Oryzias latipes: one gene and its partners. The protein of the gene in region 2 purifies or fractionates together with the protein of the main gene of each other region. This does not show direct contact. Links are inferred from orthologs where the notes say so. Each region holds a gene or a part of one and is shown on either strand. Other genes may lie near its edges.

Region 1 (6,516 bases), on a different chromosome or scaffold from region 2:
AGATGACACACAACGCATGCAAAAACCTTTTGGCGGTGGCAATAGTGGCAGTTTTATCACGCTAAGTCGCGCTCAGAGTAGTCAGCAAAATCAAAGATAGGAAAAGTGCGATATTTGACACAACGCACGCAAAAACATGCATTTTGCAAACGCAAAAAACGTTTTTGAAAGCAAAAAGAATTTTGAAAGCTAAAAAAAAGTTTTTTAAAGCAAATAAAAATTGAAAGCAGAAAAAAATCTCAAAGCAGAATCAAAAATTATTGAAAAGCAAATATTTAATATTTTCACTTGCAACTTAGAACTTAGTTTTGTGTGCAACGTGGTGGCAGAAGTATCACTCCATATGCTTTGGCCTTGGCTTTTCAAAATTTCTCTGCTCCAGAAAGTCAAATGCAGTTTTAAAAAGAAGGCTGCGACATGTTGTCCTTGAGGGCTCAGCCACACTCACCTCTGGTATTCCTACTCCATCCCATTCATTCATTCATTCATTCATTCATTCATTCATTCATTCATTCATTCATCCATTTTCTATACCTATTTATTCCCGTTTGGGGTCATGGCGTTGCTGGGGCCTATCCCAGCTACTGTAAAGTAAAGGCAGGGTACACCCTGCACCAGAGGTGTCAAACTCCAGGGGTTGCTGTGAGTAGTGAGTGAGCAGCGGCTGTTTTTCTGTCTGACTGAGCACCGTGTTAATGAAGCATAACTAGGATGTGCAGCAATCACATCAAGACCTGCACCGATACGATGGACGAGTCGTGACCAGACCCTATGAAGACTCTTAAATATAAGCATATCTTAACCGTATGAGTCCTGCAGTTATGTAGAAAAGAACAATTTCAGACGAAGAACATAAAAGCATTTTTGCTGCATCTTCATCTGTCTGATCTGGTTTTGGATGTTGGCAGCTTGTTACATTAAATAGGATTCCATACCTGACCAAGAAGAATAAAGGAAAAAACAAGAGGACAGCATCCTTGAACACTTGTGTACTGATGTGTTGTTTCGGACAGCAAAGGAAATGTTTTTTCAAGGTGAAGAAAAGGATCTCATCCTGGCTGCTATTTAAATCCCAGAAGGACGATACTGTCAATTTAATGAGCTTCACATTGTGAAAAGTCAGAGTTTTTCAAGTTCACTGCAGCTATGATTTGTGCAACTTCTAAACAATTGACAAAATAATTATACTTATGGTGTAGATATTGTGATATGAAGAAATGGCGACTCTTTAAAGACCTCTGTGATGTGAACGACGCACAAGTGGAATCATGTCCACTTTGTTGCCTTAATGTAATAAAAAAAACACAGACAGTATTGTTAAAACATCAATCATGTTAACATCACTCAATACTTTTCTTATAAGGTTTAGCTGAGCTGTAAGTATTGTCTGTCGTTTCAAAGAAAAACAATCTTTGGAACTTAAGCATTTTTGGAGGTACTGTTTTTTAAGGAAACACTGCCACAGGACACTTACTGCTTTCATATAACCGATCATTTAAGTCCTGATTTATTTTTCTGTTAGTACAGAGCAAAACATTTCACAGACACATCTGTTAGATGTCTTAATTGTGGCTATTTCAATGGATATGCATCATATTGACATCAATGCCTAGAGGCCTATCAGACCTTTTAGCAGACGACTTTCACACAGCTAATCATGTCACGGTCCCAAAATATAAACCAGCTGCCATTTTTCTTGATAAATAGGGTAATTATATAACATATAAAATAATACAAAAGGTGCATTAATGGTGGTTTTGTGTTCTTTAGAGGACGTCTTTCAAACTGTCAAGAATGCACCAGAGGACAGTATTCGTAAAGATGCATACAACAAGATTTTCAGTAAAAAAAGAACAATCTGAATGTGTCTAAAAATGGGATTACTTTGGTGAAAGTGACTGTTCAGACTATACTTGTTCAAGCATATATACTGTGGTTAGCAGAGGTTACATGGGTAGAAGCTCAGCCTGGTTTCTAGTTTGATTCCAAAGGACGTGCAAGCATTCAAAGCTACTGGTCAGTCATCACACATTGAGCTGGGGCCCTATGATTTCACAGGCGTTTGACACTGGTGACCCAATTTCAAAAGGTAACCCCTGCACCCACAACCCATCTATGACGTATCAGCCAGGCTTCCCATCTGATCCAGATGCTTTCTGGACAAGAGAGGCCCTTCATCAGTCCCAGGACGACCAAAGGTGGTTTAACATGTCACAGCTTGAAGGTTTCTTCATCTTCATCTCTGCCATTAGTCACCTTCCTCGCTGCATTCTGCACAGTGTCCTGGAAGATGTCAAATGACCAATTTTCCGACCTCGCTTGAGATATAAAGATGTTTTTAAAAGAGATATGAAGGACTTCCAGATAGATCCTGCTACTTGGACTGCTACTGAAGCGACAGAGGGAGATGGGACACCACCTTAAAGAGAGGTATCAAAGTTGTTGTATCAGACAGATTCTAGAAATTCTACTATGGAAAAACGTTTAATTTATTTTGGAAAACCCTGAGTCTGGGGGATCTGCTTCATAGGTTGGGAAGACTTAGTCTAAAGTAGGTATGGATGACCAACGCAAAGGAGAAATGCTTTTATAAACAATACACTGTTTTTGTTTTTTAACAATGGAAATGTACAAGGAAGGAAGCCAACATTCTCTACACCATTCCGCCACCTGCTGGATGCGGGCATTCATTACAGGACACTTGTTCAAGCAGCTGCAGGGACTAACTGCGTCCACTAGGAGGCGCGCAACACCGACAGTTGTCTGCAGGCAAAGATGGCGGTGCGGAAGAAAGACGGCGGCCCGAATGTTAAATATTTCGAAGCATCTGACACCGTTTCTCAGTTTGATAATGTCCGCGTCTGGTTGGGAAAGAATTACAAAAAGGTACTGTGGGCTTGTTTTTGTGCGCATGCTCACAGAGTTCTCCTTTTCACCCTCAAATGTGGGCACTTACCCAGTGGGCAGAGGCAGTGACAAAGAGAGGAGGGAGGGTGCTGCTGCTGCTGCTGCTGCCGCTCAGCGTCCAGCTGTTTGGGATACAAAAGGATGCTGAGCAAACAGCTGCAGCACAAGCGCGCGCTTCAGGCGTTCTGCGGATACACGTGACTGCAGATAAACTGCCACAAAGGCAGCGCGCGACTCTTACTCGGTGGACGGATTTGTTTTCTATAAAGAAAATACATGACTTTAGCCTGCTAGCTGGCTAGTTAGCTGCTCGGCTAACGGTGAAGCAGCGCAGATCCAGATGTTGGCTCAGAGGCACGTCTGTCTTGAATAACAGCTGGCGGGCCTCAACTAGGAGCTCTGACTTGACGAAGACCTCTCAAGTACTAATCATGAAGTAGACTGTTATTATTATTATTATTTTTACAAATATTTGAATGATTGATGTTTTTAATTAGAGCTCTTTTTCATGGGTGAAAATAAAAGCACTGACATTTCCAGAGTTTACGTGAATGCGGCATATCAGCCATAGAACTATGTCTACCAGAAATGCTGTGTTTTAGTGTTTGGTGTATTCCTAACTTTGCGTTTTGTGTCCAGTACATCCAGGCTGAGCCTCCCACCAACAAGTCTCTGTCCAGCCTGGTGGTCCAGCTGCTGCAGTTCCAAGAGGAGGTGTTTGGCAGACATGTCAGCAACCCCCCACTCACCAAGCTGCCGGTATTTGCTTCTCAATACTCATCATCTTCCTCAATGTAATGATGCTTCACTTTTTGTCCTCTGTAACCTATTATTTGAAGCATTTTCCCTCTTTCTGCAGATGAAATGTTTTCTGGACTTTAAGTCTGGGGGGGCTCTGTGTCACATCCTGGCTGCAGCCTACAAGTTCAAAAGTGATCAAGGATGGTAGGGGCTTCTTTCTAGCGGATGTTTTGAGGATTAGACCTGTTAATCCAGTGAAGAATCAAAGGTCTCAACTGGATTTTGGCCGGGTTTGAGTTTCGTGTGTAACTCCAGTCTAATTTCCTGGTAGGCGCAGGTTTGACTTCCAGAATCCATCGAGGATGGACCGAAACGTTGAGATGTTTATGACGATTGAAAAATCTCTGGTGCAGGTGAGTTTGTTTCAGCAATCGTTCTTCATGAATAGTTACCTTCTACACAACTTGCAAAAGTGTTTATTTTCTAATATCTTCAAATCTCTAAATTATTATTATTATTATTAAAAACTGTCAATTATTTACCTTTTACAATTAGGTTTAATTTAGAATTAAGGATTTGATTCAGTTTGAATGAAACTATTTATGTGTATTTATATTCAGAAAAACGATCCACGTTTATTGTTTTTTATGCAAGTCTGAATTAATGATAAAAAAAACATTGAGAGATTTCATGTTTTTGTTTGGTGGCTTCAGAATTTTTGAATATTTGCAGAACCAGTTTGTTTATTCTTTAAAGTTCCACTCCAATGAAAATTGTGTTGTAGTTGTTTTTTTACATGTTCTTGTGGCATTTTTCTGATGATGGAGCACATAGATAAAGAAAATTGAGATTAAAATTGAATATTTCTTTACTCCAATATTTGTAAAATACAAAAAAAAAAAAAGCAGTTCGAAAAAGATCTTGTTTGTGACGTAGAAAATATGCTGGCTGGGTCAAAATCTTCCTGCTTTGCTCCATTCTGATGCATCCACCTGCAGACAAATAGACCCATGAACGTCTTTGTTCTCCTCGCCTGAGCTGGAATCTGGATCAAAACTGGATGGCTGGATAGCTCTGATGTTGCTCACCATTTTTGTTGCACTGATAATGTTAGGTTTGGCTATAAGGGGCTGAAAGCTAGCAGGAGAGAGTGTAAACAAAGGGATGATGGGAAGTAGAGGCAGGCTTACTCCCTACAACTCAGATGTAAATTTTTAATGAACTCCTGCCGCTCTGCTGAAACTATGTCCTAAAAAAATGACACTTGTTTTTAGATTTTGGCCAAAAGGTGCATCATCATAATTAGAAGACCGCTGGGAACGCTTTGAAAATACATCAGAAGATGATCGGAGCAGGATTTTAATGACAAAATCTTTGTGATGTGACTTTCGTTGTCCAACCCAAGGACTTCAGGGCTCGTGCAGTGTCTTTATTTGCAGAAGCAGAGATGTTATGCTGAGAGGAAAACAGCATTTACATTGTAATGGTCATGTGTTTTTTAAATGTACTCCTTCCAGAACCACTGTCTGTCACGACCAGTCATCTACCTGAGCTCTGACATCGATCCAAAGCTGCTGGGGAAACTGAAAGACATCATCAAAAGGCATCAGGTGTGTTTGTCATGTGAATGTTATGCCATACACCTCAAGTAGGTGTTGCTTCATTTTTAGGGCTCCTATGGGTTTAAACCTGTGAATACATATGATTTACACTCTTTTCCTGATTTGCAGGGCTCAGTGGCGGAGGACAAATCAAACAGCTCCCATATTGTGGTTCCCATCCCTGCCAGTCTAGAAGAAGGTGAGGACTTGGAACTGGACTGCTGGATGGATGTTTCTTCTTCAACATGCTATTCTAACTCCAACCCCTTTTTTATCTTTCAGAGGAATGGGTGCGTCCTGTGATGAAGAGAGATAAACAAGTTCTCCTCCACTGGGGATATTTTCCAGACAGGTTGGGTTTTTTGTTGATGCTCGTGAGCCGGTACCTCCATGAAATGCACCTGAAAACTCCTTCTGTTACATTTGAAGTTAATCTGAGTCCATGACTGGAGCCGTTACCTGCATAAACACTAAAGTATCACGTCTAACTAAGCTCTGCACTGATCTCATTTGGTAATAATTGCAGTGTGTCTTAAACAGAAAGTGATTATCACATTGTGTATCTTACTTAACATTTCTGGACAACAAAGGAAACAGTCTACCTGTGTTTTTCTCCAAACGGCGTGATTGGATTGGAATTTTCTTCCTCCCACTGTGCAGTTATGACACCTGGATTCCAGCCAGTGAAATCGAGGCTGCAGTGGAGGATCCTCCAACTCCAGAGAAGCCCAGGAAGGTATTTTTTTTTATCTTTCTTTGAGTTCTTCATCTCATTTTTTAACATGTTAATAAATAATCTTGATTTGTGCTAAAAGGTGAAGTGTTTTTAGAAATGTAATCATCTTAAAACGATCATGGTGTTCACGTTACATCAGCATGCAGGCAGAGAGGTGTTCAGTCAGAAACCAGCTGTGCCAGCTCTCCTACTTCAGCAGCTGAGTTTGGTCAGTAATGTTCATCATAGCTTCACTTCAACTGTGAGAGACAGAATGGAAAAAAAACCTAAAAGAATCCAAGAAACCACATGATTTGATCTATAGTGAAATATTAGGTAAATTCCCCTGTAAAATACATATTTATCTCATACAAGCAAACAGCAATTCTGTTCTTCGCAGACTTGTTACTTCCTCTTTAAGAAGCTCTTCTGTCCTACGCTGGCTACCTGTATTAAGGGCTCCTGTTTGAACTGGTTATCTGTAGAAAAGACATTTGTCCACAACCTCCAAACTCTACTATGGCCAAGACCAAACGGCTGTTAAAGGACACA
Region 2 (6,336 bases):
TACACTTCATACAGAAACCTTTCCTTAGCAGTACCTGCAAACGCCATACAGACGTGTTCATCCAGTGCACAGATTTTGCGGACAGTTCTTTCGTCCTGCAACTTCGCTACAGATTTCTTTTCCACGCCAAGGACAACAATATCTTTGCCTCTGATTCCCACCTGATCAGACGGAAAAACAGAATTCAATGATGTTAAACAATACATTCAAAATAACAGAACATCTTACAAAAGAGATGGTAATGAATATTACAATTTCAAATCAACATTTAAAACTGTTTGGATATTTTACCTCAGGATCTGATTGCTGTTTGGAAGAATCTGATTTTTTTTTTATAAAGATCTCCGTTTAAATGTAACCCCTTGATGCCCATTGATGCAGCTTTGCATCAAACCACTAACATTACCATTATTTAGCATTAACTTGAAAGCAAAAACATTAGTGATTTGTTTCAGAGCCTTCTGATTCTATCCATCCTGGATCATGAATGAGGACATCAGAGAAAGGGCACATGTTGGAGGTTTTGGAGTTAACGTGAGAGAGGCCAGACTGAGATGGTTCAGACATGTCCAGAGGAAAGACAGTGAAAATATTGGTAGAAGGATGCTGAGGTGCCTGGCAAGATGTCTAAAGGAAAACCAGAAAAGAGGTTTATGGATGCAGTGACCAAAAACATGAAGGTAGCTGGTGTTAAAGGAGAGGATGCAAGAGACAGCGTTAGATGGAGGAAGATGGTTCACTGTGGTGACCACTGAAGGGAAAAGCTGGAAGGAAAAGAAGTAGCCAGGTGGTTAAGAACCAACTGCATTGAAGCTTACTTGATTTCAAGCCACTAAGTTGACAGTAACAGATGTATCTGTTTTATTTTATTTTTTTCTGCAACTGTTGATGATGCTTTTTATGACGTTTTATGCCTTTTTTCTGATGAGTTGTAGAACCAGACATATTAAGGAGCAGATACTATATACTTCATTATATATAAACAGTGTCATATACATACTGTAATATGAATAAATTGCCGAATAGTTAAGAAGAAGAAGAGAGGGATTCTGGGTAGCAGGATTATGACAAGTAAGTAAACTGCATCCCAAGACAGTTTCAAACGTCGTAATGTGTAATAGACATTTTGCCCTTGTTGTCTCCACAAACAAGTATGAAATTATACTTGTTTCTAGCAATTTGTGAAATGTTTACCCCGTGAAACATTATCGATTGTATTTTCCTTGCTCAATCAGAACCGAAAGTGTGTCGAGAGTGACACAGCGACAAAATGCTAACCAGTGGCACGTTTTCCCGTTTAAGCTAAAACTCATTTTACCATCCAAACTACAAAAAAGTCTAGTAAGCGGCCCAACAAAATGTTAAGTCGTAACCCGAACTTACATTGTTTACCAACAACGTTAATCAGAACACTTAATGAATTAGTATAACATTTCTATTAGCCGCTAACTAGCTAACACAGACACTGCCACCGTTATCCTTAGCATTAGTTTGTCCTGAAGACTTACCGCAGTGGAACCTTTCTTTACAGCTTCTTGTGCATACTCTACTTGAAAGAGATGGCCGTCTGGAGAAAAGACAGTAATAGCTCTATCATATCTTGCAGCCATCGTGTAGAAGGAAAATCAAACAGTGTGATGGTTTTTGCGAAATGAATCAGCTAGTTAGCTAGAGACGCACAAAAGATTTGCGCATGCGCCCGACCTCTGACCTGTTGGGATACCAAAAAGATTACACCGGACAAAAGTTTTGATTAAAACATACTTTTCTGCGAACACATGCACTGGTGCAAAGATAAATTGCATCATATTTAATTTTTAATGAATAAGTAACCATTCAGTAATGTTAGAATTTTTATCCATTAACTTTTATTTTCTGGTACATCTTGGCACTTAGATAATCCAGAATGGCCGATGTTGAAAAATATTTTAAAGAAAAAACAAATGACCACTTATTAGATCCACTACTATTTCTATGTCTAAAGTTACATTGTATTTTTAAATTATAGCAACATTTATTTTTTGTGAAGCAATGTTCATTGCTATCTGGCATTTTAGCATTCAGTTGGACCATTCCACTTCCTGAAATATGGGGAACCTACTTTTTAAAATCATGTCGAAATAGGATTACATTTAAATTTTAACTAATACATAAAAACAATTTGGATCATATTGTAGGGAAAATTAAATATCGTTTTGGTTCACATAAAAAAAACCTCAATATTAAAAATAATTGTAATTAATAAGACCCCCTCCCCCCCTACACGAACCGCTGAATTTAGAAACTGCATCGTTTTCAGTACGGCTAGTGGGATCTGAGTTCCACCGATTTGTCTTGAGTGCTAGCTTAGTTTTGACTTTTATGCTGTAGTTTACTTTCATCCCCTATTGTATCACCATGTCGGTGGCGTTTGCACCTCACAGGCAGCGGAAAGGTGATATAACAGCCGCTGGAATACAGAAGGTATTGCATCTCTTTTAGCGCGTCTCTTATGGAAGCTACCAGACGTTGTTAGCAGTTGAGATTGACAGTGTTCGTCCAAGTCTAACCGCGGACAGGTCGGGAACTATGTCACACGATCAGAGCGCGGAGAATACGAAACTCTCTTCAGTCGAGACGCCATGTTTACACGAAGCGGATTTAACAGACTGTTTGCTTAAATGATGAATGGAGGCCTGCAGGTTTGTTAGCAAACGAAAGCTAGCCAAGAAGACGAGTCTTTTGTTAGCGCACGCTCTCATCTCACAAACCCGCTTTCCTTTGTTTTGAAACTGCAACAATCTCACACCAAAAATCACAAAAATAGACCCCTACACCAACGACTCACATACTACCCAGCTCTTTGTTTATATTTATCAATTGATCACAGACGTCTTTTAAATGTTAGCTTTTATTTTTTGCAGTTACTTGATGAAAACAACCACCTGATCCAGTGTATAATGGACTTCCAGAGTAAAGGAAAAACAGCAGAATGTTCACAGTAAGTCCTTTAAAAGCCTTTGTGTTGAATGGGTTTCAGATCTGTTTGTTGAGTATAATAAATACTTGTCTTTTCCCCAGGTATCAACAGATGCTTCATAGAAATTTGGTGTACTTGGCCACGATAGCAGACTCTAATCAGAACATGCAGTCTCTCCTTCCTGCTGTGAGTACTCATCCTTGCCCATAGTTATTAGTCTGTCACTTTTTTAAACTGTACATTACGGTACATGCATATGATCCCCTGTGTACTTTAGGTGTCATAGCAGCAATGATAAAATACATATAAAGTCATACATGTATTTAATGAGAGATAAAAAAAGTTATGTTTAGATGAAAAGTAGATGAAAATAACTTTAGGCTGCACACTTATGTATTCTGGTTTATTAATGTATTTTTTGTGATGACTGTAACTACTTCACATGATCCAGCTCTTTTTAGGAATTCGACTGAGGATTTTTTAGTTTATTTTATAGTCTATTTTTTTTTTTTTTAAATAGAATAAAAGAACAAATTAAAATACGCAGAGACTTACTATTGTCACTTCTGTTTTAAAGACTAATTAATAGCTCTTCATGCTAGATCATTGCTAAGGGCAAAACATTAAAAGAGCAGACAGAAGTCTTAAAACAACCACAATAATAAATGTTTTCATTGTAAGAGATTAGGTCACTTGTGTTTTTACACCTCTGCATTTAACAGTTAAAACAAGTTTTTCAGCACTCCTGTATAACTTCTTTGTTTAATTACAGAAACACGTGTTGCTCTTTGCTATAAATTAGGGGTCAGTTTATGTATTTATCCAACAGAATATAAATTCAATTTACCAAACCAAGTCCACATTTGCATAGGAGTATTTGACTAGCGTGATGTATGCCCTTCAAGTTATTCTGGTTGTTTTGTTGATGAAACATCTTTGCTTTTAAAGCTCTCCGTCATACTGAAGTTCAGTCACTTAGACATTTTTTCTTTTCAATTATTAAAAAGGCTATTTGCTACATTCCTTTAATAAAGCCAGCAAGCATCTTTGATTTCATTAAAATTATATTTTAAAAGTAATTTTAAATATCTAGTTGTCTAATATCTACTTTCACCGTATTTAAGAAAGGTTAGAGATAGTTAGAGGGAAGGCAGTTACAGTCTGACTCTGTGAGCTAAAGAGTAACTTTGGTTCTCCTTTCCCAAAGATGCATTTTCATAAAGATTTATGAATTGTTTCTTACATGCCTTAAATTTTTGAAAAGTTTGTTTTTCTTTCTGTTTTTTTTTATGCATCCACATGGCATTGTATGTGGCCACAAGCACGTTTATTAAACGAGGTTGTTTTATTTGGCAGTTGGTCAATGTGTGCCTAAATGTCTTGCTAATCATACGCACATAAGTTTACTTTTACTTGATTTAGCTTTCTTTTTTTTGTTTCTTGTGATGATATGATTTTTCCCATTGATTGGTATATTTGTTCTTTTTTTTAATGCTTTCAGCCACCCACTCAAAACATGCCTATGGGCCCTGGTGGCATGACCCAAAGCGGACCTCCTCCCCAGCCCCCACATGGTCATAATATGCCCTCTGAGGGAATGGTCAGTGTTGGCCCCCCAGCCCCCCATATGCAGAGCCAGATGAATGGACAGATGCCTGGTAAGTCACTAACTCAATATGTCCTCCTCTGTCTTTCTTTCTTTTTCTTTTTTCTCTCCCAGTTTCTGTCTTGCTCAGGTTGCTTAGCAACACCGCAGAACCAAGAGGGAGGTCTTCTGCTAAAGGATGATGTCATTCGTTGGGGTGCTGTGATGGCCTTGAACTTGATTTTGACTTGATACCTTTTTTGTTTTCTTTTTAAGCACAAAAGTATACATAAATCTAAAAAATATACACGGGTATATATTTTATTGGAACTCTTTTTCTGGGTAAAGTTTAACAGATTTTATTGGGGATCAAGTCACTCTCCTAAAAATTACTCAACCATCTTTTTATACGAATTTGATGCTGTAAATATATAGCACATGTTTTCCGTGGACTTTTTTAACTAGTTAGAGAAAAGAACTGCATCCATCAGGGTTGCTTTAAAGGTTATGTGGAATCTCTTTCAAAGGCAAAGACTTCATTTTAAAGGCAGAAAGAGCTGTTTTACTTTAAAAATAGCTTTAAGAATTTGATCGATAACTATACAACTTTTTTCTGATACGCGTTTTAATTTTTTTACAATTGCAATCCAATCTTTTGTTTGCATATTAATGTGTTTAGACTTCCAGCAGATATTTATATCATCATAAACAAAATGATTTTTCCATCTACAGATTAGAAGAAGTTTCTGTAGTTCCTTCAGTGCATTTAAAACTGGCCTAAATTAGAAGATAAAGTAAACATAATTGCTAAAATGTTCATCCATCTGTAAGTTAAACTCGCAAGAACCTTTATGAAATCAAAAAATACAAACTCTAATTATTCCAAAGTTGTAGCATTCCACTAGAATTTTTAATGTAATACGGGAAAAATGGTCATTTCCATTAAGTTTTTATTAGAATAAATCAAACCAAAATCAGGCCACAGAAAAGTTATGTGTAAATTACTGTTTCACTCAATGTTCTTGACCTTCCATAACTATTTTGTGCTTCTTTTTTTTCTTTCAGGTCCTAATCACATGCCCATGCAAGGACCCGGTCCAGGCCCCAACCAGCCTCCAAACATGTCCAGTGGTTCCATGAACATGCCCCCCAGCAGTCATGGCTCCATGGGGGGTTACAATCATGCTGTCCCATCCTCTCAGGGGATGCCGGTTCAGAGCCAAATGAGTATGACCCAAGGCCAGCCAATGGGAAACTATGGACCTCGACCAAACATAAACATGCAGCCAAGTCAAGGTGAAGCAAGTTTTCCTGTCTTGCAATCCGTGGAGTTTTATTGATTTCTGTTGCGTCTTGCTGTGCGGGACTGGTGTTTGTGTATTAAGTTTAGCGCTGTTATCTATTATGGGTCTATTATAGGGAGATATCTAACTCATTTTGGGGTAATTCCAGGTCCGATGATGCATCAGCAGCCTCCGTCACAGCAGTACAACATGCCTCCAGGTAGTGGTGGACAGCACTACCAAGGACAACAGAACCCTATGGGTATGATGGGTCAGGTCAACCAGGGGAACCACGTCATGGGACAGAGGCCAATGCCCCCCTACAGACCCCCACAGCAAGGTATAAAGCTGTTAGTGGTCTTATGCATGGAAGTTTTGAAGTCCGATCTTCCCTGGAACCCTCCTCCTTCATCTCCCATTCTTTCTCTTCTCAATTTACCTTTCTTGTGGAGTTCACATACACCTTGATGCACCCTGAAGCATCAAGTCTTTTTAGATCCTAAGAGAAC
Region 3 (6,430 bases), on a different chromosome or scaffold from region 2:
TGCAGTGTAGGCAGAAAGGGACTGTGCCGAGCATTTAGTGCTTTCTACGCTGTAGATCAGTATGACCTTGGTCTGCTGAAGAACAAGTGGATATCTCTAATATTCAGAGTATGAAGCCTCTTTTTAGATTGTGTTGTGAAAGGAGGCCTGTGTGAGGGAGAGCTGCCAAGGATACAGGAGAGAAAAAGAAGATGTAACATCTTTTCACCGAGCTGTTTCAAGTTTAGTGACGTTCTTAAATGTTCAAGTTCTTGCAGATTTGTCAAAGTCAATTTAGGAATCAAATACAGACAATGTACTTCAGGATCATTTTACTGTTGGAGCCGGAACACAAAGAACATAAAAATGTTTTGTAACAGAAAGACCCTGGTGTTGTTTTTATATTTCTTGTACCGGTAGAGAAATTCAGAGCATTCACCAATTATGGCAGTAAATTCTGCCATTATACTTGTGTGCAATTCTTGTGACTGAATGCTTGTGAAAATACAAAAAGAGCTCAAAAGGTTTGACAAAGATGCAACTAGGGCTGCATGATATGAGGAAAACTCACGATATGCGATATTAGTGATCAATATTGAAATGACGATATAACTTGCGATTTATGAACAAATAGCAAAACAACCAAAATCCTCATTTGCATTTCACTGTGGTTTAATTTAAATAAGAGTCAACATAACTAAAATTATTTTCCACATGAAACTAGTCTTCATGGGAGGCGAGCTTCTAACAAAAAGGCTTCATCCATAAATAGATTTATTTGATTTGCTAAATAATTACAAGCTGTCATAAGATTGTTTTAGCACATTTAAAGTAACAATTTATTGCGATTTTCGCTGTCTTTTGCTATATGCGGATTGCACAGCTTGATATCGCGATAACGAGAAATTTGCCATTTATCGTGAAGGCCTAGATGGAACAGTCAACAGTATCCTTTAGTGGGATTGGTCTTTAAATCACAAAAATAAACAACTGTAGCCAAATCACTGCCTTAGTGAAAAACATTTTTTCATCGAAAGTCTTTTAGATAAACAGACTTCAACATAAACCCACTAGGGTTCAATCCAAATTCTTCCCCTACCCCTCCAGCTTCTCTCTTTCCCTCCAATTGTAGGGGCATTTGGGGGTAGGGGTGTTAGTTTTTGGAATGGAAAACCTTCACTGCGCGGAGGGATACGGAGCCCTCCAACGCAAAGGTGTTCCGCATGTTCTGTGCCGCAAAAGAGAAACGTATCTCTGCAAGTGGGTGTGCCTTGAAGCACAGAAGTTTACACGTAAATGTAAGTAAATACTTTTTGTTTTAGCATGGCTTTTTAATGTTCTAAAACCCACGTTATTTACTTCTGATCGCCACCCGCTAACGTGGCTGACCGACGACGATTGATGACCTCATCGAGTCAGAGTGACGTCTAAATGACTATTTTTATATGACACTCCATTTGGAGGGCTAACTGTAGGTGTAGGGAGAAGTAGAAGTGGGGGAAGAACTTGGATTTGGTCTAGGTATTGTAAATATGAAGTCTGAACATCTAGGACACTTTTAAAACCCTAAAAGAACTGCAGAAATGTAAACTCTTTCTCTTAGTCTGTTTCAACACAACAAACATCTTTAGCATTAATGTTAAACTTCTTGAAAACGGTGACAAAGGTTGCTGCGTACACTACTCCACACTAAAATTTGAATCACCAAACTAGCTAGCTGTACTTCCACGTTCCATTTTAATTTATGTTAGCCCGCCACTAACAGCTCACTTCCCTCATCATTTTTCACTGCCATGTTACTTTCCCCTCAAGTTCCACAATTTGTTTCCACCAAAACATCCCCGCCTAATAGAACTGGACTAAGTGACCCCCCACCCCCACCCCGGATGTCAAATAGGAAGTACCTGCTCGAACGTGTGTAAACCCCGCCTCTAATGATTGAAATGTTTAATTGACAGACTCTCCTGAGCCTGCTTTCAGTGGCAGAGATGTGGACTAAGATAAAAGCTTAATCCTGATTGGCGACAGGAGTTGCCATAGAAGCGTCGACTCCTACAGACGCAGGCTCATCACCGTTTACTTAGGTGGTCTGGCTCCAACATGGGGATGAGTGTACTGCAGATCTAACAGCGACTGATGGATTCATTTTGCTGGAGCTGAAAGTAAGGCGTTTTTTTTTTCTTTCTACGGGTGACGTCAGACTCGCTCAGTCCAGTTCTCTTATACAGACAATGACATCACCACCCACCTTTCCATCAATTAAGAATCAAACGATCTTGATAGATTTATAAATAAGATACTTCTCCATTCCCTGCTAGTTTATAAAAATAAAACATTTTTTGAAGTTTTTCAAGGTTAAGATCTTCAATTTCTAAAAATATTTATCATGCCCTCAAGTAAATTCTGAGTTTACCTCATTTGTAATTGGTTAAAAGTATGAAGACTCCTCTCAAAATTGGGTGCATGTCTTTATTTTAAAAAAATTAATTCAGGTTGGTAGGTAGGTGGGTGGACTTTTAAGTTTACCATGCCCCCCCCCCCCCCCCCTTTTTAAGTTTAACAACTGCAATGTATGAGTAAACTATGTTGCGTGTACTTTAATAGCAAAACATTACCAAGCGTTGTATTATTAACAAGTAGAAGTTCTCGACGGCGGAGTTACACCTAAAACCTGACCAAAAACTCAATGGTTCCGTTAAGTAGAAGTCAAATCAAATGCCAATTTTTAAACGTCAGCAAAGAGAGACGCGACAAATACAAGCGGGTTTTCGGAAATTACCTTTCAGCAAATTTGAATTTAGACTCACATGACGGTAGCAGCCAGATGTTTTCGCAGAGTACGGTTCCTGAGAGGCGGACTTTTTACTTTCAGATTTCCCAGAGGAAATCAATGGATCCCGTCAAAACGAGACGTATTCATAAAAGTTGATAGATTTAATCAATCTGTATATGCCAGTTAACTCCACACAATCAGTAACTAGAGAACTACGACGAGCGTAACACAGTAACTAGTTACTAGTTAGCGTTAGCAGGCGAGGTAGCACAGTTTCATGTAAGCTAACCTTCTGTTAGCGAGCGGGAGGTTTAGCAAATTCAAACATGATAAACTCATAAAAGTCCGCCAGAGCGCTCGAAAAAAATATTTATTAAAAGTCGATTACTTTTAATGGGTTTCTTAAGTTCTATTGAACTGGGCCTGTAGGGGGACGGGGGTTAATGTTAGCCATTGGCGACAAAGCAGCGATGAGTGGCTTTGTTCTACTAGCGGACCGGCTAGCATTGACGCAAAGATGGAGTGATAACTCACCGGGTACCCAGGCCCAGGCATTGGAGATCGGTACATGTGGTTCTGACCAGCCGAAGATGGACCCATTCTTCCAGTGGGAGTCCCGGGTCCCATGCCTGGTCCAGCACCGGGTACAGGTTGTCCAGGTCCAACAGCTCCACCACCACCAGTCGGTGCAGACTGAAACCCCCCTCTGGACGCCATCTCCTCACTAGATGTCGCCTCCGGTGGAGCAAAGGAACTAACGCGAGAGCAACTGAGGCGTTCACTTTGCGATAGCGCCCTCTACTGTTCTCTTTTGACACTGCACGATTGCCCACATTAAGAGACAAAGGATAATTGTGGGGTATGAAGGCGTAATATAGGCTATTTCTTAAAAAAAACATTTAGTATGTTCCTTTATAATATTTTAGTATTTTTCGTGAAGTTTTTTTGTTTTGTTTTTCGTGCTATTTTTTTTAAATACAAGAGCAAAAAACAACAAACAGGCTGGGCAGCTACTCATGAAAACTACAAGAAAAACTATAAAAGTATAGTTCATGTAGTTTAAAATATGTATTAATATATATCAATATATACATGTATATGTATTAATATTATTCATATATAGTTTAAAATATATATTAAAAACACGAAAAAATCTGTCTGGTCTGTAGAAAATAAAACAATTAAAATAAAAAAAGAAAGAACATTTTAATTAGCTGGAGTAATACAGTCCTGACAAGTCCTAACAACCAGCATTCAATTTACATGATTATATGCACAAGAATAAAGTCAACGGGTAGGCCAACCATATTGGAGTAATTTAGGACGCTATTAAATTGTCTTCTTTCTTTTCATGTGAATTCACTAATCTGTTCTATTGCCTTCTATATGTCTTTCATTTATCAAAACAGAATACATTGTTTTTCAATTTTCTCTTATCGAACAAAATAAAACTTAGAGCAAAACAAAATGCCCCAAAACATTATTAACTTTTAAAGAACACATTTAAAAATAAAAGTTTTCATTTTAATTTAGGCTACAGTACAAAATCAATTGGTTCAACAGTGGATTGCTGATATTTTTCATTTTTCATAATATATGACTGTTTTGCAAATGAGAAAATCATTTGATTTTTATTAATGTAACTATTCATATTTTTGTATCATATCCTTTAAAAAAACAATCATGTATGTTTTTAACTAACTTCTATTTGTGTACATATTTGCAGGTTATTTCTGAATGTTTTTAGAAGGTTTTATAAAATAGAAATCTTGATGATGACGTTTTCAGCTACAGGATTGTTTCTTTCCATCATTTTGCTAAGTAACATGTGACACTTTTTGTCTCTACAAGTCCAGAACTTGACTATGTTGAGATAAACACAATATCTGGAGTAGAAAATATTTTCTTTTCAACAACACAACACCTGGTATTTTGTGATGCCTGTTTGTTTGGGCTTTCTGTTTTCTGCTAGTATATACGAGAATCAGAGTAAACCTAATTTCATGGGTCTTTACTTCTTTTGTACTGCAGAAAGAAAAATGACATCAAACAACCTTGTGTAAGGACAACACAAAAAACGATGTGCATTTTTGCTTTTGGGTGAAGTTGTGGAATAACATGGAGGAATGATTAAGAATATTACACAATTAAAATAAATCCAGTTAGAATATGAAAAGCCCATTGGGAAAATGTGGTTCAATCATAACCTCATGACATTTTGGTCCTCTTTTATTATTTTTCATTATTTCATTATTGTCTATGTGAGTAGTTATTATATATTTAATATGTGGGTTTGCGTAAAAAATCGAACATATCGGGCGTGGAAAGTAATAATATTTTTCTTCTAGCCACTCCTCTTTGAGCACTTTATTGTGTTTATTTTGTATTTGAAAATAAAGGTAAATCAAACCAAAATCAAGTTTCTTGTTTTTATGTTAAATGCACATGAGCAGAGCATGAGCAGAGATTATTATAATTGATTTAGAAAATCAGATGTTTTTGTGTTACAAAGCTGAGGTATTCAGTGAATTATCTAGTTTTAAATGAAAACAGAGACATAAGACATTGTGGAAATTTACTTTACATTGATGGTAAAAATAACTGTATAGGCCGACTGAATGACAACAATGTTTAGCTTTTTTTTGTTTTTGCAAACTCAAATTCACAAGTTCATCTTCTAAAAGTTGCCTTTTAAGCTTTTCTTAGAAATTGGCACCTTGTTTCATTTCATCACAGTGGGGTTCATAAATTAATGAACAAGCTCCTTTTTCTGTTCATCAAAGGATGTAAATCAGTCCCATTGCGTTCCCATGATGGGTTTTTAAAAGGGCATATCACTTTTTTGAATTATTTTTAATTTAATTTTTGATCCTTTCATTAGACCAGACAAGCAGAAAACAGGCGTCGAACCTCTGAAATCTCCCTTTGAGGTAAACACCTAGAATAAACAGTGATATGGGGCTTCGGAGCATTTTTTTGTTTTATACCTCATTTAGCCAATTATAACCCATGAAACCCTACATAACGTGCCATCTCCTCTGTTTGCATAATATATTTGTGTTTAATAGGTGATGGTCTGTATGATAACATGTGAAGAAGAAAGGGGATCTCCAGGATAATATATACTGTGAGGTTGATCAGGTTCATCTTTTTCTTTACCTCCAGTGGCTTATTGAAAAAAAAAGAACAAATGCAAAGCCAGCATGATCAGGCCTGAGTCTGGGGCCTGCCACAGTGTGTTTCAGTAAAACAAAACTTGACTGTGTGACAACAATTAATCATTTTAATGAGCCAAATGTAAAGTGGAACCCAGAGGAGGTGTCAGCTGGCATATCCATGACAAATGGACAAGAATCCTAATTTAGCTGAAAGATCTGACAGGAAAAGTTCATTTCACAAATGTGACTCATCTGACACACACCCTTATAAAAGACGTGCTGTAGTGCAATAGCAGAAAAAATGATTTATTTTTGCACAAAATCTTGTCAGTGGCCCAGTGGAGACTGAGACCTGTTTTGGTTTAGTTTGGTCAAAGGACTGCAGCAAAAAGAAGCAGTTTTCAAGCAATGAATAATTGATCAAAACAATACATTTTTACATAACATGAATATCCACCAATATGATGCAATCTCTGTCTGATTACAAGTACCACGACTTCAGGCCCCTTATTGTATTCAC
Region 4 (4,726 bases), on a different chromosome or scaffold from region 2:
GAGGGCGTGGACCCTGGGGGAGCAGGGGGGCACTGTGAATAAATAATATGGGTGGCGCTGTTCCTGCCTCAGAACGACAGATCACCATTGTGCCATATTTCCATGCTGCAAATCATAGGATATCCTCCATGTTTTTTTCCTGATTTTATTTATTTGCAGCATCTTTATTTATTGATGTGAGTACAATTTACCTCCCATCTGCTTAAAATCTGTTTTCCAGCTCTATGGGCAACACAACATGCAGCTCTGATTCTACCTCCATGCACCACCTGCTGGCTGTGGGGTGGAGAGCACACCCAGATCAGGCCTTTAAAACTGTCGTTTTTAGTTTGTAAAAAGTCAATCAGTTCCATCCATGAAGTGTGAAACGTTCTCAAGATGCAAAACCAACAAATTCCATAAAAATAAAGCAAAAACAAATTAAGACCTAGATTATCCCTTGTGCTATCCTATGGGGTCAAGATGAGCGTTGACGTGTTCTCTCTACCATGACAAAGGTGGATAAAGGTGGAAAGATTTCATGTAATCCATGGACACCAGTGAAGATCACAAATCATTGAAGAAAAAAGATTCAGAGCACTGTCTAGTGGGTCTAGATGACCCAACTGCCAACGTTAAAGTGCCTAGGATAGTACAAGGGTTAAAAAAGAAAACTGAACTCAAACATGAGTTATTCTTTTTTCTGGAGTAGGAAGCAAAAAATAAAACTAGACTAAATGAAAGCATGAAAATGTCTCAAAAGAGCCGCCTAGACACCTGTTCTAAAAGTGAAACTAAAAATGCAAAACTAAAAAAGGAAAATAATTTACATACATTTATGAAATTTCTCTTTTATTTTGCACACACAAAAAAGCAGAATTCAACTAAAGTGTTGTCTAAAAAGTCTAACTCCATACATTAAGTACATAAAGTTCTTAAAGTGCAAAAGCAAAATTAGTTAAAAGAAATAAAAGCTTGATTTTAAAAAGTTGTTTTTATGTTGAGCTGTTGAACTTTTATCTAAAGGGGGTTAAAAACAACAATTTCACTAAATAAACCCACAATTGTTTTTCCAGAAAGTCAATATTTTACCTTCAGAGTATAAGCTTAACTTGACTAATAACTAGGAATAATGTGAGATTTTGTTAGTCTGTTAAGAGCCGTGATGCAAAATATTTAAAATAAAACAAAAAGGGAAAATGTTAAGAAATTTGAGTCAATTAACCCTTGTGCTATCTTAGATGACCCCACCCTTACTTTAACGTGTTCTCCCTACCATGACGAAGGTGGATAAAGGTGGAAAGATTTCATGTAATCCATGGACACCAGTGAAGATCACAAATCATTGAAGAAAAAAGGTTCAGAGCACTGTCTAGTGGGTCTAGATGACCCAACTCCCAATGTTACAGTGCCTATGATAGCAAAAGGGTTAACTATTCATTAAGTACTTCAAGTTCTCAAGATGCAAAAGAAAATATGTCAAATGTAAAAAACACTTAAAAACTAAAATCTTGATTTATTAAAAATGTGTTTCCATGTTGAACTGAACCATCATCTTATTTTTCTTGGGGTTAAAAAGCAAAACTAAACCAAACTAGAGAGAGAAAAAATAAAAGAGACTGAAAAAAGCAAAACTTGACCAAGGACAGAAATAATCTTGAGTTTTTGTCTAGATGCAAAACATTTTAAAGTAATAATTTAAGAAAATTTCTGAAGAAAAATCACAAATTAGAGAACATTTTTGCAAAAACCAAATTCAGGTGCTGCTTTGACATTTAACACATTTAAATCAGATAACTTCATGAAATCAAAGCAGCTATCTGTATAAAAATAACACTGAACATTTTTAAAGCTTTTAGATTAGAAGTCCATACAGTCACTTCAACCTCATGCTATGCAATCGTTATTGTTTCAAAGTCAGATTAAAAATTTCCATGGCTTCTGTCAATCTCAAACTATCTATTCTAATGGCATGGAGTTTAAAAAGAATCCAGTTTTGATCATTTTTTGCTTTTTATGGGGCTTTTGTGGATCCTCCAAATTTAAGGTCAAACTGATCTAAACTGGAGAATAAAAGAAAGCAAACACCAACGTTTTCATAAAAGAAACAAGGTTTAATTTACAGTTTTACTAAATGTACATTTCTTTTTAAAAAGTGTCATTATACACAATAAATACAATACAAAATTAATCTGTAATACTATACTTCAAATTCTCTTCCGGTCTGTTTCTTCCTCTTTCTTTTTTTTTTTTTTACATTATTACTGTTCCTTTTTTCCCCTCATCTGGATGCTTGTGCTGCGTTTGGGTTTGAATTGTCCACCAGAGCTAGAATAAAAAACAGACGGGTGCACAGTGACGGAGCTGAGACAGACAGGAAACTGACCCGCGGGCGGAAACGTGTCCATCAGACATGACCGACCGACAGCAGAGGTGAGGCTGCGAAACAAGAACCCGGGAAATGTTTGAAGCAGAACAAAACTGATTTTCTATTTTTGCAATTCCACAGCAGGAGGGAAGGGTCCAAGATCTAAAACAATTTCATAATTCCATATTTCCTCAACACCTTTTGACGCCATCTGCATCTTCTTTTTTGCTAGTAAACGATGAGAAGTGAACCGTCAGGTTTACCACACGGTGGATTGCATTTACTGTGTGCCTCGGTAAGGCAGAAGTCTCTTTGTGATAAGACTATGCAAGACACAAGAGTTGTCGTATTTACTGATCTGTTCCAGGTGAAACTGCTGTCTGCTGTCGCCTTGGGAACGGTTCAAACAAGCTGCCCGATGCTCACCGGGGACGCCGTTTGTGGCCGGGACATCTGTGAACGGTGACTGCTGCTAAGGCCACATGGAAGGAATGTATAAATAGTGACAAGGAGAAGCGAAAATGACTGAACTTTGAAAAGGAAAAGCCTCGTTTGGGGAAAAAGGGAAAAAAAGGGGAGGGGCAAGGCGCCGGCGTTCGACTGTCCTGCTGGAACCTTTGTCTGTCAAATTCAAACTGCCCGGACAATTCAAATGGACAACACAGCTTGGCAGAATAGTACAGTGATACTATTTGACCCCCCCCCCGCCTACTTGTGACTATTGCCCGGCCTCCTGTCAACCCCCCCGTCAGTCCAGCCTGGGGCTGAGGGGCTGTTATCTGCTCTGAGTCTGGGGCACCAAGCTGCCATTGTGGCCACGACCGCCAACCTGAGGGTGCTGGGCCAAGGCGGATGATGAGGAGGCAGAGGAAGCGGGCGGGAGTGAGGGTCTGTGGGAGGAGGCGGCCAGGTCCCCCGCGCGCTGACTTTGGTGCTGATGGGGCCTGCTGCCGCCCCCTTTGATGTGACGGCCGGACGGCTCCTGCTGCAGGTTGAGGATGCTGTCGATGGCGCACTGCAGGTGCTCGTTCAGAGAGTCGTCCGGCGGGCTGCCGCTGGAGAAGCTGGCGTTGTCCATGTCGGGGGAGTCTGACTTGCAGCGTTTGGCAGGAAGCAGAGAGTCTCGAGGGTAGGAAGACTCTGGGGAGGGAGGCCCGGGGGCGTGCTGGTCCATTCTGAAAGTCCCTCCGGTCACGTGTTTGTTTTTCCCACCCAGCCGCTTGTATTTCCGCACCTCCACCTCTTGGTCCGCGCGACCTTCCTTGGCCCCCTCCCTGTCTAAGAGCAGGGGGTGATGATGGTGCTGCGTGGTTTTGATGCCATGGTTAAACACCTCATTCATTTTGTCCAGCCCCTGCACCGCCCCCCCAAAATGTCCAGCTTCGTGGCCAGACTCTGTGTGGGGGCGTGAAGCCTCCCTGTCTTTTTTGTCCGCCTTCACGCTGGCTATGACTGTCCGCTCTGAGGGGGGGGTGGAGGCCCCGTGCCTGGGGGGGGAGGGGGTTGCTCTGGGGTAGGACAAACCTTCATCTCCTCCACCTGGGACACCGGGTCTGACGCACGGGCTTACGTTTTCCCGGTAGGTTTTCCGCAGGGGAAGGCGGCACGTTGTCTGGGAGGGGGTGGGGGCGGAGGCGGGGTTGTGTTTGACTCCGCCCACACTGTGGTGATCCAGCGTCCCGTTCACCTGAGTGGAGGATGAGGAGGTGGACGACGGCCAGGAGTGAGAGGATGAAGAAGAGGAGGACGACGACAATGGGGCTCCACCTGAGGAAGCAGTTCCTCTCAGAGGGGGGTTGCTCTGAGTGGTCGTCATGGAAACCGAGAAGCCAGAGGAAGCTGTGCACGCGTGGGACTGAGTTCTGATCACCGTGGTGAGAGGGGATGATAAAGGGTGGGGCTTTGCATCTGCTGCAACAGCGGCTTCAGACTGGGTCGGAGCCTGAGGCGGGGGCGTGGCCTGATTGCTCGGCTGAGGTTGCAGCGTGTGCACCGGGTCCAGAGCGGTGTTGTGGACCACCTTACTGAAACCCGTCTGATCCTGCTTGATCTTCAGCTTCAAACCGATTCTCCTGCGAGCTTCGTAGGTCTTGATGGGCGGCTTGCTGGTTCGCTGAGGGAGAGCGACGTCGTCGTCGTCGTCTGCTTCCTGGGAGTTTGAGGATGCCGAGGGAAGCGAGGAGGAGGACGACGACGACGACAAGGTGGGAGCACGACTGAAGCTTTGGCTGACAGGATCAGAAGCGGGTTTGGCCGGAGCCACTGACGGACAGCTGGTAGACCAGGACACAGATGCCCCACCCCCACCATGCTTGATGACCAACTTGGTAGGGGGGAAAGGAGGCGTGGGAGTCGACGCCGGAACCGGAGCAGGAGCTT
Region 5 (5,741 bases), on a different chromosome or scaffold from region 2:
TCTGCAGAGCGGCAGGAGTTCTTTGCCTTTGAGTTGTGGCTCTGTTAGCGCGGAGCAGCCCTGCTTCCGCTAACAGTCGTCTGTTTACACGCTCTCCCGCTGACCGTCTGCACGCGGCCTCATGGGAATGGAGCAGAGCCTGGAGCTTGTGGCCCCGCCCAGCGTGTTTTCTACGTCACAAACACCATCTTTTTCAAACTGCATCTTGTGTCTACTCCTGAGTCAAAACCATTTGAATAAAGAAATACTCAGAGATGTCTTTTTTAATTTGAACTCTCTTTACATATGTGCTCCATCACGAGAAAAATGCCACAAGAATGTGTTAAAAAAAGAAAATTCGATTTTCATCTGAGTGGGTCTTTGGAGACTTTTTATCGGATCAGATGAAAATCATGTTTTGTTGGATTTTTCTCAGAATGGAGGACATTTTTTAAAGAATTTCTGATGAATCAGGAATAGATAACAACTAGCTGTAAAGCTGGATAACTACAATATTGCTCACAGTCTTTTTTTTTTTTTTGCTACACTAATGTTAGCTTGGTGTTGCGAGGAGCTGTAATCTAGCGGGAGAAAGTATAAACAAAGGAATGCTGGGATATCAACAGTCACTCGTCCTGAGCTGCAGAAACTACGTCTTAAAAATCGACAGGTATTTTGCAAAAACCGCTTGGAATGATGGAAATACAGATAGAGTGGGGCTTTAAAGTGAATTGCAAACATGAAGGGCCACCTGATGGTCAAGCATGAGCAGAAGAGTGCATTTAACGTTGACGTCGCCGGGCCTTTTGACCTGGAAACCATCCGTCTCCTGGGTGGTGGGCATTCTGTGCCACTGAAAGGGAAAAATATCCAATCTAATTAGGAATACAAATCAGAAAAGTCAACAAAAGAAAAGAAGAGTGTGGTGTTAACGTCCTTAAAACGTTACCTCCACTAAGTGATTGTCCGGCCCGTAGAGCTCCTTGTCCAGCTCGATCACCAGGCTTTTGAAGAAAGATGAGAACTTCCTCTTCTGCTTGCCGGGCTGCAAACACATGAAACACAGCACTGCGTGACTGCCGAGCGTTCCTGAGCTCCGCGGTGTCAGTCTGCAGCTGCATTGTTGGGCTCTGACCGCATCAGGGAAGAGGAACCAAACTGTTGAGTAGAAAAGGCTGTTGCAACCCGCCCGCCCCCCCCTTCCCCTCCGTCAAATCTGTTTGCTCAGCGTGGCCCCCTTTCATTTCTCCTCTGCCATCCGTTCTCTTTTGGCTGTCAGTCCACGCCGTGCTCCTACACATGCCTGGACCAGCGAGCAAGAGGGGGGGAACATTAGGAGCAAAAACAAAAAAACTGGGGGGCCACGGCTGACAGAGCGAGCTCAATTTTAGGAGGGAGGGGGTGTTTCGGTTGGAGGAATGCAAAAGGGCGATGGTTTCAAGCCGGCAGAAAGCATGAACTCCGGCGTATGGAGGCAGTTGTGGGGTGGGATGAGGAAAGCTGTAAACGCACATCTGGCCGCGAGGTCTGCGCCAAGGATGCGGGCCAACTGACGCTTTCAGAAACGCGAGCAGAGACCGGACCGCTCAAATAATGGCCAAAGAGCAAAAGAACACGAGTCTCTCACTTCCTCCAGGAGTTTGCCTTCCACTCTCAGCTCCCAGGAGGACACCTTCTCCGACTCCTCGCCCTCGGGCTTGCTTGGAGTGAAAGTGTTGGAAATGTAGATCCTCAGCTTGCGCTTTTGCTGCATCATAAAAAAGAAGCAAAAAGCTGATTTAGATTCATTCAAGAGCTTCAGGGTTTTGTCTTTCTTCCACCTATCCATCCAAAACGTTTGGCGTTTATCAGATCCATCGGAAGATCTGGGCTTTTGGTGTCTTTGACGTTTGGAGCCTCTTGTTCAGACTCGCAGGGAGCTTCGAAACATTTTCTGCTTTGCGTTTCTGAAATCAGTCACAACAGTTTCTTGACTGTTTGTGGATTTGTCTGGTTTTAATTTTCAAAACCTAAAATACCATTTGATAATGTTGCAATCAGGCACTTGAGACACTGCAAAACATTTCACTTCTTTAGCCAACAAAAACTCTTCGGCCTCGATTCTCCACACATCTTTGCTGCATTTATCCGACTTTGTCAGATGAATAAGTGAAGCTGCTCAAATATCAAATGTTTTGCGTCAAACCTGGTTTCATCCGTCTAAAGGCGGATCTGAACAGGGACAGGTTTGCTTCAGCACCTGCTCACAATGCAAAAGACATAAAGACTGATCACGTCCAACTAGTATGCCTGTTAATACCAAATCGATCATCTGTGATCTCACTAAGAAACATCAAATCACTCAATCGGTGCAGTCTTCCTCCGTTTATCGCAGCAGTTATGCTCTAATAGCAACAGAAGAAATCTGCAAATTTTCAACAATTATTATAGATGTTTTAACCCCTAACTACCCTATTTAAACACTTTTCTTAGACGTTTATGAACATTTTCACAGCTTTCTCTGTTGTTTAAACTCTCAAAGTTCAAATCTTCATATAAAATAAGCCCAGTGTTATAGAATGGAAACAAAGATCATCTTTGCGAGCTGAACGCATTCTGCATAGCGTGGAGGAGACTGATTGACATTGGTCTGCAGCCAATCAGAGCACAGAACACAAACTGCAAAAAAAAAGAAGAAAAAAATTGCGCTAAATCAATCCTGAAAACAGCGAAACTCTGAAAGGTTAGCAGCGAGGGACCACTCTACTTAAAGTTAAAGAAGAAAACGACAAAAAAAATTGTTCTACTAAAAGTGTCAGAACCCTCCACATCTTGTTTTTTCCTAAAATGGTTGTAGAAACATACCATAATGGGCTTCTTGATGGCCTCCTGAATCTCCATGCGCTTGCGAGCGATGGTTTGATCCAGTTTCCTTTCAAAAGCCAGGAGGTCCATGTAAGCCTGGGACTCGGGGACGAGGTCTCGGATCTGAAAGAACCAAACGTAAAAAGTCGTGATTCAAAACATCCAAAAGCAGGAAATAAATTGAATTCTTTCTGGGGGGGGGGGCCGTTGGTGTTAACGTACCCTCTGTGGCAAAACCTTGTCGGCCATTTTGCGTCTTTTGGCTCTAAACCGCACAGAGAGAAGGATCAACGTTTAGATTAGAAAAGGACTCAGAAAGCCTCAAACTTTTCATGTTTTCATGAGGAAAAAAGACACGCTGACACATGATTCAAGATCAAGTCCAAAAAGATTCGATTAGAGCTCATTTGTGGACAGCTTCACAGTTGGATAACAAAGTCTTGGCCTACATGTCCTCTTCTGAGGGACTTGTAGTTCCTCACCGCAGCTGAACTCATAAAAACGCACAAGAGCTAGTCTGTCTTCAACTAAAGGACACAGTTGATCGTCATTATAAACTCAGAAGATGCTTCCAGAACTGCAGCTTATTTTCCTCCAATTCTGAGAATGTCGTTAGAAAATAAACACGGCAGCACAACAGATTCATTGTAACATTTAGAAATGTGGCGTCACCGAACAGCTTCAAGTGTTTGGAGGCAAAGGCCGGTCAGGAGATCCTCATGCGTAGAATGAGGCTGTGTTTTGGGTCAAAACAATTATACCGTCCAGTTGTTTTAGAAGTAAAGACAAAAACTCTCATGGTGCATCATCGTCTTCAGCGTTTACCCTCGTCTGAGGCTTCCGAGCGCCTCTTGCTGCTGCTGCTGGTGGTGGAGAAAACGCTTTCTTGACGCGTCCATGCCTGGCCGCATGGGAAGGTTACCCCCACCGTAAGAGGGACCGGGCATCTGACTCCCCATTACCCCCATAGGACCCCCCATCCTGCTGGGTGGGATTCCAGGGCGCTGGATGAAAGAAGAACAGTTTGATGAACAAAAGGGAAAAGCAGTTGGCGTGTCGTGTCGTTTGACCCACGTGAGGCTGATCTCTATTGAGTTTGATCCATTCTGTCCATTTCTGGTAGAAACACAAACCTTCAGTCTAACTCAGAGCTGATTTGGATTTTAACATTGTTAAACAAAAGAAAAGTTACTTTGAATATGTCTAAATCTTTCTTATCGATAATTTATTACAATTAAAGCAATCATTTACACTTTTTTACATTTTTGTTTCCCACCTAAATAGCTTCAAAATAAACATAAAAAGAGAAGATTGGGGCTCTTTTCTTAAAATTAACTGTATGGTTTGATGTTAGTTGGATAAAAATAGACTGGACTAATTATGGCTTATTAACTTTTATAACTAAAAACACAATAATTATAGTTTACTAACTAAGAGTTTTCATCAATAATTGGAACAAACTTTTTTAAATATGTCAATCTGAACTACAATTTAACTTTACGAGTAAAGATAAATACTTTTACAATTGAACCTTCATAGAATTTTGTTTAAACAAATAAAAAGATGCATTTCCTGCGCTCTATTAAGCACAGCAATGAGGGCCTTTCGATTCTGCTTTGTTTTTTAGTCACGGCTTCTGCAGACCTTGCAGATATTGAGATGGCCATGAACTCATTTGTAATCAGAGTACACCAAGAGCACACGAGAGCGTGAGTCGGCGAGCCAAAGCTGAGCTGACTTCAGGTCACACCACAGGGAAACGGTTAAGGTTGCGACACGGCCTGGCAAAAGTCTGGACCTCAACCCAAATGAAACACTCCAAGGAAACAAGAGCTGTAACATTTCTTAAAAGCTGAAGCAAAGCTGCAGTGAGAAACGGGCCAAGATTCCAACACAAGGATGTGAGACACAAAAGGAAACATCTGCTTCAAATCCTACCACTAAATTCATACAGAAGATGGAGCATCTTCAGCTTTGCCCCACTTTATTTACAATTTGTTGGCTTATTTTATGGAAGAAAATAATCAGTTTGTATGTGATTGCCAAATGTCCTTGAGAACTCAATTTTGACTTTGAAGACCCATTCCAATGAAAATCATGTTTGTTTGATGTTTTTAACATGTTCTTGGAGGACATACATGAATTAAATGAAGCTTAAAATGGTGTTTTTGAGTGTTTCCTTTATTCAAATCATTGTGAATCAGGCATTTGGCTCAAATCTGTACGTCTGGATGGCCCCGACGTTGCTCGCCATTTTGTTACACCGAAAATATTATGTTGGGGTTGTAAGGAACTGTTGGTGGGCGGAGCTGTTGCCAGTGGAGTAAGCCTGCCACAATTTCCCATCATCCAGGTGTTTACACTCTCTCAACTGTTCCGCCCACAACTCGGACACACGTGTCTAATGAACCACTGCTGCTGTGCAGAAACTATTTCCTAAAAACTGGGATAATCATAATCAAAACTCCACTGGGAAGGTTTTTAAAGCAGATCCAACGAGGATCGAGTGGGACTTTAATATATTTATTCAAAGTTCTTTTACTGTCAAACAATCTTATTTCCTATATGAAAAGAAAATGTGCTTTGAAGACTGGACAGTGAGTAAGTTTGACATTTTATGAACCGTTCACAGAAAAACATACATCAGAACTTTGATGGTTCTAATTTGTAGGATACAATCGGGTCCAAATGAAGCCCAGATGGTGCTGGAACAGGGATGGTATAAGTGGTCTTTGGATAGATGGTGGTGATGATAAACTTCCTTTTGTTTTCTCTAACTGACAGGAGGCCAAGGGCACCCACGTGACCCCGTTCACACTTCAACAGAGTACATTTATTCACAAAGGCCAGAATATTTAAAACCTCTACCCCCAATTAATGTTCTCTGGTGCCACAATGACACGTTAAACCCATTTGAC

The links.
Region 1: the proteins of ss18 (region 2) and smarcc2 purify together in Homo sapiens (affinity purification with mass spectrometry; 3 studies listed by BioGRID and IntAct, counting the BioPlex papers as one, with this or other methods). This does not show direct contact. The link is inferred for Oryzias latipes from reciprocal best matches to the Homo sapiens genes SS18 and SMARCC2.
Region 3: the proteins of ss18 (region 2) and smarcd1 purify together in Homo sapiens (affinity purification with mass spectrometry; 5 studies listed by BioGRID and IntAct, counting the BioPlex papers as one, with this or other methods). This does not show direct contact. The link is inferred for Oryzias latipes from reciprocal best matches to the Homo sapiens genes SS18 and SMARCD1.
Region 4: the proteins of ss18 (region 2) and bicra purify together in Homo sapiens (affinity purification with mass spectrometry; 3 studies listed by BioGRID and IntAct, counting the BioPlex papers as one, with this or other methods). This does not show direct contact. The link is inferred for Oryzias latipes from reciprocal best matches to the Homo sapiens genes SS18 and BICRA.
Region 5: the proteins of ss18 (region 2) and SWI/SNF-related matrix-associated actin-dependent regulator of chromatin subfamily D member 2 purify together in Homo sapiens (affinity purification with mass spectrometry; 4 studies listed by BioGRID and IntAct, counting the BioPlex papers as one, with this or other methods). This does not show direct contact. The link is inferred for Oryzias latipes from reciprocal best matches to the Homo sapiens genes SS18 and SMARCD2.

Annotation. Positions count from the first base shown.
Region 1 is NC_019863.2:4,303,354-4,309,869, reverse strand, and holds the start of smarcc2 (SWI/SNF complex subunit SMARCC2), read left to right. Parts: upstream 1-2,740; 5' UTR 2,741-2,775; coding exon 2,776-2,886; intron 2,887-3,546; coding exon 3,547-3,666; intron 3,667-3,766; coding exon 3,767-3,852; intron 3,853-3,979; coding exon 3,980-4,061; intron 4,062-5,165; coding exon 5,166-5,258; intron 5,259-5,378; coding exon 5,379-5,448; intron 5,449-5,531; coding exon 5,532-5,601; intron 5,602-5,909; coding exon 5,910-5,985; intron 5,986-6,516. UniProt on the Homo sapiens protein: Involved in transcriptional activation and repression of select genes by chromatin remodeling (alteration of DNA-nucleosome topology).
Region 2 is NC_019875.2:25,758,097-25,764,432, reverse strand, and holds the start of ss18 (protein SSXT), read left to right. Parts: upstream 1-2,269; 5' UTR 2,270-2,397; coding exon 2,398-2,463; intron 2,464-2,550; exon of another isoform or gene 2,551-2,660; coding exon of another isoform or gene 2,661-2,681; intron 2,682-2,903; coding exon 2,904-2,980; intron 2,981-3,060; coding exon 3,061-3,145; intron 3,146-4,460; coding exon 4,461-4,617; intron 4,618-5,609; coding exon 5,610-5,840; intron 5,841-5,996; coding exon 5,997-6,167; intron 6,168-6,336. Other genes in the region: psma8 (proteasome subunit alpha type-7-like), read right to left, coding at 35-161, 1,509-1,610. UniProt on the Homo sapiens protein: Appears to function synergistically with RBM14 as a transcriptional coactivator. Isoform 1 and isoform 2 function in nuclear receptor coactivation. Isoform 1 and isoform 2 function in general transcriptional coactivation.
Region 3 is NC_019863.2:13,903,407-13,909,836, forward strand, and holds the start of smarcd1 (SWI/SNF-related matrix-associated actin-dependent regulator of chromatin subfamily D member 1), read right to left. Parts: upstream 3,506-6,430; 5' UTR 3,470-3,505; coding exon 3,287-3,469; intron 1-3,286. UniProt on the Homo sapiens protein: Involved in transcriptional activation and repression of select genes by chromatin remodeling (alteration of DNA-nucleosome topology).
Region 4 is NC_019871.2:5,045,972-5,050,697, reverse strand, and holds the end of bicra (BRD4-interacting chromatin-remodeling complex-associated protein), read right to left. Parts: coding exon 3,123-4,726; 3' UTR 2,073-3,122; downstream 1-2,072. UniProt on the Homo sapiens protein: Component of SWI/SNF chromatin remodeling subcomplex GBAF that carries out key enzymatic activities, changing chromatin structure by altering DNA-histone contacts within a nucleosome in an ATP-dependent manner.
Region 5 is NC_019877.2:6,914,882-6,920,622, forward strand, and holds part of SWI/SNF-related matrix-associated actin-dependent regulator of chromatin subfamily D member 2, read right to left. Parts: intron 3,828-5,741; coding exon 3,649-3,827; intron 3,089-3,648; coding exon 3,046-3,088; intron 2,947-3,045; coding exon 2,824-2,946; intron 1,727-2,823; coding exon 1,607-1,726; intron 1,025-1,606; coding exon 929-1,024; intron 833-928; coding exon 731-832; intron 1-730. UniProt on the Homo sapiens protein: Involved in transcriptional activation and repression of select genes by chromatin remodeling (alteration of DNA-nucleosome topology).